Linked DNA regions of Drosophila melanogaster. The protein of the gene in region 2 interacts with the protein of the main gene of each other region in a pairwise test. Each region holds a gene or a part of one and is shown on either strand. Other genes may lie near its edges.

The links.
Region 1: the proteins of TAF1B (region 2) and Polr1B interact in binary tests that used the Drosophila melanogaster proteins (3 or more experiments, as listed by UniProt).

The regions. Positions count from the first base shown.
Region 1 is NT_033779.5:402,365-408,560, forward strand, and holds Polr1B (RNA polymerase I subunit B), read left to right. Parts: upstream 1-1,920; 5' UTR 1,921-2,019; coding exon 2,020-2,109; intron 2,110-2,171; coding exon 2,172-3,671; intron 3,672-3,730; coding exon 3,731-5,530; 3' UTR 5,531-5,605; downstream 5,606-6,196. UniProt on the Drosophila melanogaster protein: DNA-dependent RNA polymerase catalyzes the transcription of DNA into RNA using the four ribonucleoside triphosphates as substrates. Second largest core component of RNA polymerase I which synthesizes ribosomal RNA precursors.
Region 2 is NT_033777.3:10,139,503-10,146,189, forward strand, and holds TAF1B (TATA box-binding protein-associated factor RNA polymerase I subunit B), read right to left. Parts: upstream 4,683-6,687; 5' UTR 4,570-4,682; coding exon 4,142-4,569; intron 4,087-4,141; coding exon 3,966-4,086; exon of another isoform or gene 3,853-3,965; coding exon of another isoform or gene 3,728-3,852; intron 3,673-3,727; coding exon of another isoform or gene 3,585-3,672; exon of another isoform or gene 3,568-3,584; intron 3,433-3,567; coding exon 2,992-3,432; intron 2,897-2,991; coding exon 1,268-2,896; 3' UTR 601-1,267; downstream 1-600. Other genes in the region: CG42759 (uncharacterized protein), read left to right, coding at 3,585-3,672, 3,728-3,852; invadolysin, read left to right, coding at 5,899-6,030. UniProt on the Drosophila melanogaster protein: Component of RNA polymerase I core factor complex that acts as a GTF2B/TFIIB-like factor and plays a key role in multiple steps during transcription initiation such as pre-initiation complex (PIC) assembly and postpolymerase recruitment events in polymerase I (Pol I) transcription.

The DNA.
Region 1 (6,196 bases), on a different chromosome or scaffold from region 2:
GGACTCTTCCCTTCACATTCTTAATTGTTCTTTTTAGTTTTATGCACATTTTAATTAGAAGAACGTGTCAGATGAATCCGTCTAAAATTATACACAAGCGTCATTTTAATTATGAGTAAGGGGTAAAACAAAACAAAACTCTTGCCACATCGCCTGTCAAGAAATGAAGATCAAGACCAGTTGTCAAGAGCTGAAAGAGAAAGATCCGCAACACTTACTAGGTGAATGATCTGCACTGTTTTGAAGACGATGTTTCCTAACATCAGGAACTTTAATTACATATAAAAAGCATACAAAAGAATTAGCATTACTCTCAGTTTTGGTATTAGGTAAAAACTCTGGGTGAGTATGAACACATGTTCAAGGTTAAATACAGCACAATCCTATTCATTTTTCAATTCATACACGATCACAAACTTTTCTTAGCGCACCCCTGTCTGACCCACATTCGTTGACCATTATCACTTCGTTAAAGAGAATAAATCTCTGGACCTTTATTAACCAATTTGTGATAGTGGCATAGGGTATCCCGCGCACCCCCGAACTCAATGAAAATCTTTCGCGCGAAAGTTTCAAATGAAAATCCATTTGCTAGCTGATTTTTGCACTGGCCACGCCAACTTCCTGTTTTTTTCCCCCAGTGCGCGCATTTGAAAAGTGGGAAACACGCAGCAACGATTCCAAACCAAGGACGGTGAAGGGTTTTCCGGGGTAGGAAGGAAGGATGGCGCACACATTTGGCAAAGTGTCGCCAGGCTTGAAAATGAAAATCAACAATGCAATTTGCCATGGCGCCTCGCTCTGCCCCTTAGTTCTAGGTTTCTCTGTTGTTTGTAGCGACTCAAAAGGGAAAAAATTCTGCTAAAAACTTGAAGCGCCAGGCAAAAGTTGGGCCCCAGGAACGCCCTCAGCTTTTGCAGAGATTGCACACAGGCAAATGTGCAGCGAAAGTTGAAAGTAGCAAGGATACAAGAACCAGGCATCAAGGACGCTCTGCCCAAAATAAGTTGCAAGAAATCCATTGTGTTCATTATAATGGAATAATAAACCGGAGTGACTGCGTTCAGATTGGGGTTCTTTCCTTTTCCATTAGCCCCTGAACCATCTCAAATTGATGATATTTTCTTGATGTTCCCACAACCACTTCATGTTTTCACGTTAAAACCCAACAAAGTAATTTGGCAATTCCAATACAAGAAAAATTAAGAAATCTGGCATCAGCCTTGATTAACACCTATCTTAAGACGAAATATAATGTTAGTAAAATTTTCATATTCTCGCAGTCATTAGACATTAATGTGCCAGTCAGTGGGGTTTAAGCCCAAGTATTCGACAAAACTGCTTCTTAGAAGCTTTAGATGGCGTATTTTGGGGAGGGTGCTTCAGATTAATATGCACATACATACATATGTGCATACATACGCCACCTATGTGGCTCACAACAATGCAACAACTTCATTGCCAGAGCAACACGTTGGCACATCCTGTTGCAAAGTCTCATTTCCGCAGGAGTTGTGTTCTACATACCGGATGCCTTTGCAAATGCTAAATGGTTATTGCCGTATGTGCACAATATGTCAGACGTTGCAAATAAATTATATTTGCTTTTATACAACTTGGATACAATTCAAAATTGGGTTATCAGGCTTATCAAGCGCGCACATATCAGCTGTTCCTTGCATTCGGTTGGCAGCCCAGTTATTTAAAGATGAGCTGAACACGAATCGGAACCATACGACAATTCACCGAACTTTAAGGTTATTTTAGTGTGTTCTATTAATCTGAATACAAATTTTTAGTGATGGTTCTTTATTTACCGAAAATTTTTATCCCAATCATCTATATTCTTATTTCATTCAGTTATATGAACAATATAATATATGAACTAGTTCTTTGCGACTGCCTCACCACTGACTGGTTCGCATTCAAAACGGTTCGATTCCAAACAACACGTGCGAAGGAAGGCAATAGGTTTCTTAATATTTTTGGTCGGCATTCTGAAAGAATAATACTTACAACATGCTGGAGGAGATGCAACAAATGAAGACCATTCCAGTGCTGACCAATTCCCGCCCGGAGTTTAAGCAGATACCTAAAAAACTCAGCAGGGTAAATATCAATCTTGTACCTATAGCAAGGTTTCGTGCTAATAGATTTACTTCTATGGCTAGCATTTGGCCAATTTGGGAGGTCCACATGTGGATTCCTTCGACGAGATGCTGACCGTGGGACTGGATAACTCGGCCAAACACATGATCCCGAACCACTGGCTGAGTCCTGCCGGCGAAAAGATTTCAATGAAAGTAGAATCAATATGGATAGCGAAGCCAAAGGTGCCGCAAGATGTGATTGATGTGCGCACCCGAGAGATTTACCCCACGGACTCCAGGCAGCTCCATGTCTCCTACTCGGGAATGTGCTCGGTCCGATTGGGGTGGAGTGTCAATGGAGTGCAAAAGACTCCCATAAACATGGACCTAGGAGAAGTGCCCATCATGTTGCGCTCCAAAGCCTGCAATCTGGGACAGGCTACTCCGGAAGAAATGGTAAAACATGGAGAGCACGACAGCGAGTGGGGGGGCATTTTTGTGATCCGAGGAAATGAGAAGATTGTACGTATGTTGATCATGACCCGGAGGAACCATCCCATATGTGTAAAACGTTCATCCTGGAAGGATCGTGGACAGAATTTTAGCGATTTGGGTATGTTAGTGCAAACGGTCCGTGAGGACGAATCATCCCTGAGCAATGTAGTACATTATTTAAACAATGGAACTGCAAAGTTTATGTTTTCTCACGTCAAGAGACTATCATACGTACCAGTTTGCCTGATCCTCAAGTGCCTAATGGATTATACAGATGAGGAAATATACAACAGATTGGTGCAAGGCTACGAGTCCGACCAGTACTATGTGTCCTGCGTGCAAGCCATGTTGAGGGAAGTTCAAAATGAAAACGTCTATACGCACGCCCAGTGCAAGAGCTTCATTGGCAATCTGTTCCGTGCCCGCTTCCCAGAAGTTCCGGAATGGCAACCGGATGATGATGTCACAGACTTTATTCTTAGGGAGCGAGTAATGATTCACCTGGATACCTATGAGGATAAGTTCCAGTTGATTGTGTTTATGATTCAGAAGCTTTTCCAATGCGCACAGGGCAAGTACAAAGTGGAGAACGTCGACTCAGCTATGATGCAGGAAGTGCTTCTGCCAGGCCATCTCTATCAGAAATACCTAAGTGAGCGAGTCGAATCCTGGGTCTCGCAAGTCCGACGTTGCCTTCAAAAAAAACTGACTTCACCTGATGCCCTAGTTACCAGTGCTGTGATGACGCAGTGCATGCGACAAGCAGGAGGAGTTGGCCGGGCCATAGAGTCGTTTTTAGCAACTGGAAATATTGCGAGTCGCACTGGCCTGGGATTAATGCAAAATAGCGGATTAGTCATTATGGCGGAGAACATTAACAGGATGCGTTACATGTCCCACTTTCGCGCCATCCACCGTGGTTCCTATTTTACAACGATGAGAACCACTGAGGCGCGGCAGCTGCTCCCGGATGCCTGGGGTTTTATTTGTCCAGTGCACACTCCTGATGGCACACCGTGCGGACTGTTAAATCATTTGACTCTAACTTGCGAGATTTCGATGCGTCCCGATCCCAAGTTGGTGAAGGTGGGTACAGCTAATGGTAGACTTTATTAGAAATTTTAACCGATTACTTTTTTTTTCAGGCCATTCCCAAGCATCTTATAGATATGGGCATGATGCCCTTGTCAAACCGAAGATATTTGGGCGAAAAACTTTACGTCGTCTTCCTAGATGGCAAACACTTGGGTCACATTCATCAATCAGAAGCCGAAAAAATAGTTGACGAATTGCGCTACGGGAAGATATTCGGCACCCTTCCCCAGATGATGGAAATCGGCTTTATACCCTTCAAGAAGAACGGTCAGTTTCCAGGGCTTTACATTGCAACGGGTCCTGCCAGGATGATGAGGCCCGTTTGGAACCTAAAGTGGAAAAGGGTGGAGTACATCGGAACACTGGAACAGCTTTATATGGAGATCGCCATCGATGCAAAGGAAATGTATCCTGACTTCACCACTCATTTGGAGTTGGCTAAGACCCACTTCATGAGCAACTTGGCCAACTTGATACCCATGCCGGACTACAATCAATCGCCACGTAACATGTACCAGTGTCAGATGGGAAAACAGACGATGGGAACGCCATGCTTGAATTGGCCTAAGCAAGCGGCCAACAAGTTATACCGCCTTCAGACGCCAGGGACTCCTCTCTTCCGACCAGTACACTACGACAACATCCAGCTGGATGACTTTGCAATGGGCACAAATGCTATTGTAGCTGTCATTTCCTACACGGGCTACGACATGGAAGATGCTATGATCATCAACAAGGCTGCTTATGAACGAGGATTCGCCTATGGAAGTATCTACAAAACAAAGTTTTTGACGTTGGACAAGAAGAGCAGTTACTTCGCAAGGCATCCACACATGCCGGAGTTAATAAAGCATCTTGACACGGATGGTCTTCCACATCCGGGCTCCAAATTGAGCTATGGTTCGCCCCTGTACTGTTACTTTGACGGAGAGGTCGCCACTTATAAAGTTGTGAAAATGGATGAAAAGGAGGATTGCATAGTAGAGAGCATCCGACAGTTGGGAAGCTTCGATTTGTCGCCAAAAAAAATGGTGGCCATCACACTGAGGGTTCCACGACCTGCCACTATTGGAGACAAGTTTGCATCAAGAGCTGGTCAGAAAGGAATTTGCTCACAAAAATATCCTGCAGAGGACTTGCCATTTACGGAATCTGGTTTGATTCCAGACATTGTGTTCAATCCCCACGGCTTCCCCTCCCGAATGACAATCGCCATGATGATAGAAACGATGGCGGGAAAGGGGGCTGCAATCCACGGAAATGTTTACGATGCCACGCCTTTTCGCTTCTCCGAAGAGAATACTGCTATTGACTATTTTGGCAAAATGTTAGAGGCTGGGGGTTACAATTACTACGGAACGGAGAGGCTGTATTCCGGCGTAGATGGCCGCGAGATGACTGCTGACATATTTTTTGGAGTGGTGCATTACCAGCGTCTTCGGCACATGGTGTTTGACAAGTGGCAAGTAAGATCTACGGGAGCGGTGGAAGCTCGGACCCATCAGCCAATTAAGGGCAGAAAACGCGGTGGAGGCGTCAGATTCGGTGAGATGGAACGGGATGCTTTGATCTCTCACGGTGCTGCTTTCCTGCTGCAGGATCGCTTGTTCCACAACTCCGATAAGACGCACACCCTGGTGTGCCACAAGTGCGGCTCCATTCTGGCGCCTCTGCAACGCATTGTTAAGCGAAATGAGACGGGAGGACTCTCTTCTCAGCCAGATACGTGTCGCTTGTGCGGGGATAACAGTTCTGTATCGATGATCGAGATACCATTCTCTTTTAAGTATCTGGTTACCGAATTGAGTTCGGTCAACATTAATGCGAGATTTAAGTTAAATGAAATTTGATTTAAATCTAAAATTATTGTTAGGTCCTATGTTAACCCGTGCGCTAATCGTAATAAAGATAAATACGTAAAATACAACTGTGCTTGCCAAGTGTTTATATCCAGATCGTGGAAACGTTTTAAACACCTTTCAAATGGTTTCAATTTATATTTATTTAAATACATATTGGTTTACGTTTACAGTTAAATTCCTGCACTTGCTATATGTAGTTGTGGCTTGGTTTTCTTGCTCTTGCAGTTGCTTTTGTTTTGTCTGTGAGTGTTAAATGGAATTTGTGTGGAATTTTGTAACATTTAACTATTGCACTTTGGAAATGCCTAAATTTCCAGCTGTCATGCACATTGGTTTTTACGAAAGGATCGAGAGTTTAATGGTAATAAGTATTTGATGTCAGTTTCCATTATCGGTTTTCAGTATCAGTATCTATATAGTGTATATTTTAGTTTACAATTCTTTGTTCTTTATCGGCAGCCGTCTCGCATTTGAAGAGAGTCATTAGCAGATTTATGGCTGGCGGCTACTGCTGCTGCTGCTTCAGATTAGTTAATACTTGGTGCTACAAAGATCGCTTTCTCTTCAGGAAGCGGCACAACATGAAGTAGCCCCTCTCAGTTTATCTATGGTACACAAACGAAACGTAATATTACCCAGAATCATTCAAAAAAT
Region 2 (6,687 bases):
TCGGTTCTCTTCAAGTCGCGCGCTGCAACGGTTAAAATTCCTGTCCACACATCCGATTCCACTGCACTTCTTGGGCACAGGCACTTTGGTTTCTGGTTATCACACTGCGCTGGACGGGCAAAGAGGCGTACAAAGGCACAATGGGAACTAATTTAAATTGAATTCGAACTCAGTGCTCGCGGCCAGTGGAAAAGTGGAAAATAGGGAAACTCAAACCGCAGCAGGGCAATAAGGCGAAACAGTCAGCGACGACGTTAAAATTAGCACTGAAACGCGCCGTGCGAATGCGCGCCTATGATTTCTTTACCCACTCTCACTGCTCCCAAGCGGAGGTGGCCTCTTTTCTAGCTAGATATAGCTATAAATATAGGTAAGATCACAAGAATATCGAAAAAAAGCATAAGATAATTCTTATCACCTCTTTCGCCGGATTTTTGAAGTAGGATCATCAGAGATAACTGCTTTATATGAAACAAAGCTAGTAAGACATTAAAAGGAAATCGCTCCTATGAGAGCGTTGACAACGTTAAACTTAAAGCAAATATAAACTATCACAATTGAACACCCTTTAAATTGTTATATATGTAAGTGATTTTTTTTGGTTTATTTATTTTATTTTGTTGTTTATTTGGTATAATTACTTTATAAGTAGAACTGTTCAAAAACAAGCCAAGTGAGCTCCTCTGTTTCCCCAAGTACTCTCACGCTCTTTTTTTGCTCTCTCCAGTTGGTGATGACCGTGGGGCCTGGCGCTCTCTTTTGAAGAAGATTTTTGTAAACAAAACCGCGACACGCATTGTTGCTGCTAATGTGATTGTTGTTGTTCTGATAAACGCTAATTTGCCTATTGATATTGATGTTAATGTGCCTTTGCTCACACAGTCGCGGCCAAGGAGATAACACTGCCCCTTAATACATAGATCGTTTCAATCTAAAATGGATGCAAATTTAACATTTGGGCATAGGAAAACGTATGGGTAGACAACGAATATTTTTGTTAAATGAATTGATCACTTTCGATAAGTGTGTAAATCATAAATTCCTGAACTTAAGCTATTGACGTAGTGGGTGTGTCATGTTTGTACTTTGGTAACTGCTTAACACACAGATTTATTTGCATCATAATCACTGTTGAAAGATTTCTACAGGTTATATACACAAAAAGAAAATCTATCATTTGAGGTAGAGCACTACGTAGAAGAATATTATATTTTATACAGATGGCATCGTTGTTTGTTAATTCAAAACTTTTAATACTTCTAATATACTACCATAACTCCTTGTACGTCCTGGCGAGGGTTCGGATGTCCTTCTCTTGAGTATTGTGTTGAATACACAGATAGTTCCTATGATTGCTCCAGTCCCTGATGCTGTGATGGTACATCACTTCCACAATGAGCAGTTCCTCGTAGAGCTCCTCCCAGACTATGCCTATTGTGCTGGCACACGTCTCCAAGAGCCAACGGAAGGAACAGGGGAACAACTGACGCAGTTCATGCTTGTCATGCCTCCGAATTCTTTTCATATAGCCGTGTAGAAGCCAGCAATCAAAATTTGACACTTGCAATAACAGCGTCTCAGGGCTTGGCGGCTCATCATTGATATCGCTCGCTACTTGGTCTGATGCTCTATCAGAACCTTCCGGATTCAAAATTTTTTCCAGATTGCGACGGGGCAGATCTAGAGGGATGTTTAATGGATCCATGGTCCCTTCCTCGAAGGTTTGCAGTGAGCTAAGGCTGTCAAGTGGTATCTCGTTATCGTTGAGTTTGAGAAGAAAGCTGGGCGTTTCGGTAACATCCCAAAACGGATTATTTATCTCAAGTTGCACACGCCTTGCGTCGCGCATTGTTATACGTTTCAAATATCGGGCTCCATAGGTTCCAGTGGGCTGTGTGAACCGAAAGTCCGGCCGTTTCTCCTTACGCTTTAGCTCGCTTATCCACGTCTCGGTTTTAATTTCAGTGTTGGCGCGGTATTCTCGACCGTCACCTCGGATTATTGTTAGTGGGCGGAATATGCCCACGTTTTGGATGTCCTCCTGGCAGGCAAGCTCCTCTACTCGTAGTTTAAGGCCATGTTGGGACAAATACTGCGACAGCTCGGTCGTTTCCAGCACAAAGGGATCCAGGTTGCGGGCCGAGTGATCCACTTTCATGTGGTCAGGAATTGTGATTTTCATTTTTGCACCATCAGACCGCGATACTTGGAGTAGGATTCTGTTGAAGTAGGAGTGAGCCGGAGTCAAGCTGGGCTGGAATTCAATGTGTTCCTTCTCCATACTTTCTTTGCTGGACTCGCCAAAATGGTCCTTCAGCATGGTTTCAATAATGTGTGTCAGGTTTTCATGCTGACGCTTCATTGCCGCAGATCCCTGCATCCAGCCAAAGGTTTCGCCTTGCTCCTTCTCTTTCCACTCCTTTGCCAGTATGTCGTCCACCTGACAACCAGTCCGGGTGGATACCCCGAAGCGACGGGCAAAACTTTGGTTGTAATGTGAGACAATCACTTTCCTCATCTCCACAAACTCCATCCACTCGGTAAAAACAAAAAGCAAGGGAGCCTCATCTCCGCCGACTTCCAGCAGTTTTTCATTGATTTTAGCGGCCGATTCAGATATATTCCGCTCCTTGAGATCGTCCAAGCCGAAGAGCAACTTCATGGCGTAGAGGATGTAGGCCATAGTCCTGGCCTCATAGCGCGGATACGGATGTACGGTCATGGCGTTAAAAAAAGTGGGCGGATGCAGGTCAAGCAGGCTATTCACGTACTTCAGTAGCCGAGGTGGCAGTGCCAACTCCAGAATATATCGCTCCGCTAGGGAGTGCAGGTTCGGTTTTTGATATTCAGACAAGTTTATGAATCGTGACATACACGCGATGTTTACACGCAGAAGCTGTGGAGAATATAAAGATAATTATTAGTTGTGTTCCTTTTTATTAATAGATATTTCTATTTTTCTATCGTTAGAAAATGATGGATTATAGTCACCTTGTTGGTAACCTTGTCTTTCATTTTGCTGAGCTCCATATCTTTGAGCAGTGCCTTGCCCTTGGCCGCCACATTTCCGGGCAGATAGTTAAGCATGCACCGCTTGGTCAAGTGCTCCTCATCAATGAAGCGCAGCAAGTCCGATAGCTGTATATCATCCTCCACCATATTAAGGGCTATGCCCAGCACCACATACAACTTGATAATATTCAGGCAGTAGATGTTACGATCAAAATTGTGGAGCTGCTTGACCCTCGGTCTCAAGCTGTGGCACGACATACTACCCTTGCTGTCGCGGCTATGCTTGTCCAGGTGCTTCAGCGGCATATGGCGCTTCAAGGACTTGCGTGCACGCATTGACCATTGCAGGTGGAGACTCTGCTCCCCTTCGGACTCTGAAGCTCCTCCGTGCGAGCGGTAGCCGGAGGCGTCTAGATTGCGCTGCAAAAGGAATGGGATCAAGGTGTTACAGTCGCATCTGAGTAAACATCACTAATGAATAGGCTAACTATGTCATTTATATAGCTTGTGGAGCTATAAAAGACGAACGTGTTCAAGTCAGCAGCAATTTGGTAAAGTGTGTCGTTGCAAATATGTCCATGCGTCTGGTTCTAATTGGCGTGGCCATCCTGGCATTGGCCTACGGACAACCTGTTCCCGGAGCTCCAGAAGTCACTGAAAGTAATTAGATAAACTAATCCTAACGCTTATTGTTCATCCAACATATTCGCCACAGATTCTAATCCAGTACAGGAGATAAATACAGCAAAACCCATGTATAATGACTACCAACGGACCCTTTTCCTGCTGCTGCCCCTGCTGTTTCCTAACCAATTCTATATACCGACTACCAGCGGCTAATAAACTACCTTAGTTCTGTTCCACAATCTGAACTTGGCGCGCTCGTCATTTGGGTCACCCGTTAGAGTGCTCTTCTTGCCCTTTATACCGACTACCAGCGGCTAATAAACTACCTTAGTTCTGTTCCACAATCTGAACTTGGCGCGCTCGTCATTTGGGTCACCCGTTAGAGTGCTCTTCTTGCCCTTTTTGCCTTTCTTGAATGTCTTATGGTTGTAGATGATGCGGGCATCTCTGAAAGAATTCGGAATTTAAAAATAAGAAATTTTAGGAGAATGCAAGAACCCACATGGGCAGCGCCCGCACATTCAGTTTAGGCAGTCCCGTCTTGTTGCTCTTGCTGAAGGCCACCTCCATGCTGTCCAAGTAAGCCGCCCACACTTGCAGGGTCATCAGTTTGAGCTCCGGCTTGGCGCCCATGTTGAGCAGCTCCTGGAGGAAGCCGCGCAGCACGTAGTTGTAGAATTCCCACGAGGTGATATCGTCCTCATCCTCCTTCTCCGTATCCTTCTTCTGTCGGATCGTCCTGGCTGTATATCGGCCTGCTGCCGTGTCATCAAAGTTATCCTCGGCGGTAATGTCCACTGCACGAATCTGATCCTTCTGTGTGCCACACTCTACGCAGTAGTAGAATCCCTCGCGCTCCTGGAAGGTGGTACCCTCGCACACATCGCAGTGCATGTTCTCCAGCTGCATCGTCTCGAGAACTTCCTCCATTTTTGGGACTTTCTCTTGACGGTATCAGATTTAAATTATATTATTAATCAAACTCGCGGTTGTACACAAATCGTGCATGTGATAGTGGTGGGGAATGATCTATGTTTACAACGATATCATCCGTTCTTCGATTGATTCGATATATCGTCCGTTTCTTCTATGAAAACGTACATCACTAGATTAAGGCGGCAAATAAAAGTTGGTTCAAAGTAACATATTTTTAGTCATGGTATTTTAATAAAATTTTATTTTTATATAAAATTTAGAGAGCGGTTTTTTTTTGAAAGTATATATTAAAATCTAATAAGCGTAAAGGGTATTTTTTATTGTTTTTTATGCCAACCTGTTAGATGCACTTGTACGTTAGCCATCACTGAACTCTAATCTCTCGTAACATTTCTGTTATCTTTTTGGTGTGACCATAAGCAGTAAGAATTGAATTATCCATGTCTTGACGCTTGATTTTTAAAAAAGTCGATTCGAAATATCGATAGGCAACGTAATTTTTTAGCGCTAATAAGAGGTGTTACCAGATTCGGAAAAGCATAAGAACGCGTTTTTCGTTTTCGTTGAATGGCCACTCTGTCCTTGTGTCCATGTACTTATGCATATGTATAGAGACTCGATTCAAAACAAAATCGGCTGGCGAACGTTAACGTCGTTGTCGGACGATTCGACTCGCGTCTCTCTAAGTTTGTTGTTCGTGCCAACCACCCCCGCCGGTACCCAAACGCCCCCTTTTCGCGCGAGTGTTTTTATGGTTTTGCTGAATGAAAAGGCTCGACGAATGCGCTTATTGAGTGCCCACTGTGTCGGGTATGGCAGTGAGTCCTACAGAATGCTCTCGCTGCACGGACAGTTCATGAGAATTTGACATTTAAGTGCGAGTTTGTTCCTCCTTTTGCGGCTAACTGCAGTTTGTAGTTTGCTGTAGTTTTATGCACATTTTTTTGGCGTGGGCTGAGATTGGGACACACCCACCCGAAAACAAAAACAAAAAGTAGTCCAAAGGCCCCAATAATTGAGTGTCTCTGTGTGTGCGTATGTACGTGTGTGTGCGAGTTGTTTATGTGTGCGAGTGAGAGGAAAGGGATTCGAATCGAGCCGGTTTTCGCGAGTTAATTGACAAAGCAAACGGCGGAAAAGCAGCAAACATAAGCAAACCAAAGAGGAAAATAAACAAAGAATTTTAAGTGCAGATATGGGTGTTCGAAGTCAAGTGATAATTAAACAAAAATCACACTAATCCTGACAATGAAAAGGATCACCGCTACAATGCTGAGTACTCTATAATATCCACGGCGATATTCCACCCCGAAGTAAAACACCATGGCCAAAACGCCCCCGCTCCGCCCCCACGGTAACATGGCCAAATTCCTGGCAGCCCTCGGCATCTGCTCTTGGCTCCTCGTTTCGGCCACCGCTCACAACTGCCAACACCAGCATCCAAAGGCCCACGAGGTGAGTTGCGTTCGTTTGGCTCCAAAAATGAAGGGATTGGATTGAATTGGATTGGACTCTATGGTATTGGGTTGAATTGGCCTTCTTCTCTTACTCCGCCCTTTCTTGCAAATAAAACAAATAATATCCGGGAAAGGGCTATTTTGGGAACACGGAATCTTTAAGTGCTCACCCGCACACGTGTGCCAAATATTTACAATCCCAACTACATTAATATTAGTCTTTTTTTTTTTAGTCTTGCAACTAGCTAAGATTTTTCATGCTAGATAGCTAGATTACAAGATAGTATAAGGTATGAAGATGGTTTGGTAATTTCAAAAGAAAGAGTCCTTAAAGTTTAAATCAGCTGGAAAATCGCAACTTCGGAAATTTCAATGCTCGAGTTTCTTGTTTGTTTCTGCTTCGGCCATTTGGGCAGATTGTCCTTCGTGCTCATTAGAGAAATTTCATAATTGGTGCAAACTGTGCTCGTCGAAAATTTATAATTGATTGGGCTTTGGCATGAAAAAGGCAGGCCTAATTAGTGCCGATTTAAGAGGAGCCCTGAAATTGCCATTCTCATAATTCTGCCATAGAAACAGCGGCAAAAAACTGAAACAATAAACATCTAGCGATGGTTGGTGGCAACCACAGCTTATTGACTAATTCCGCTGGCTA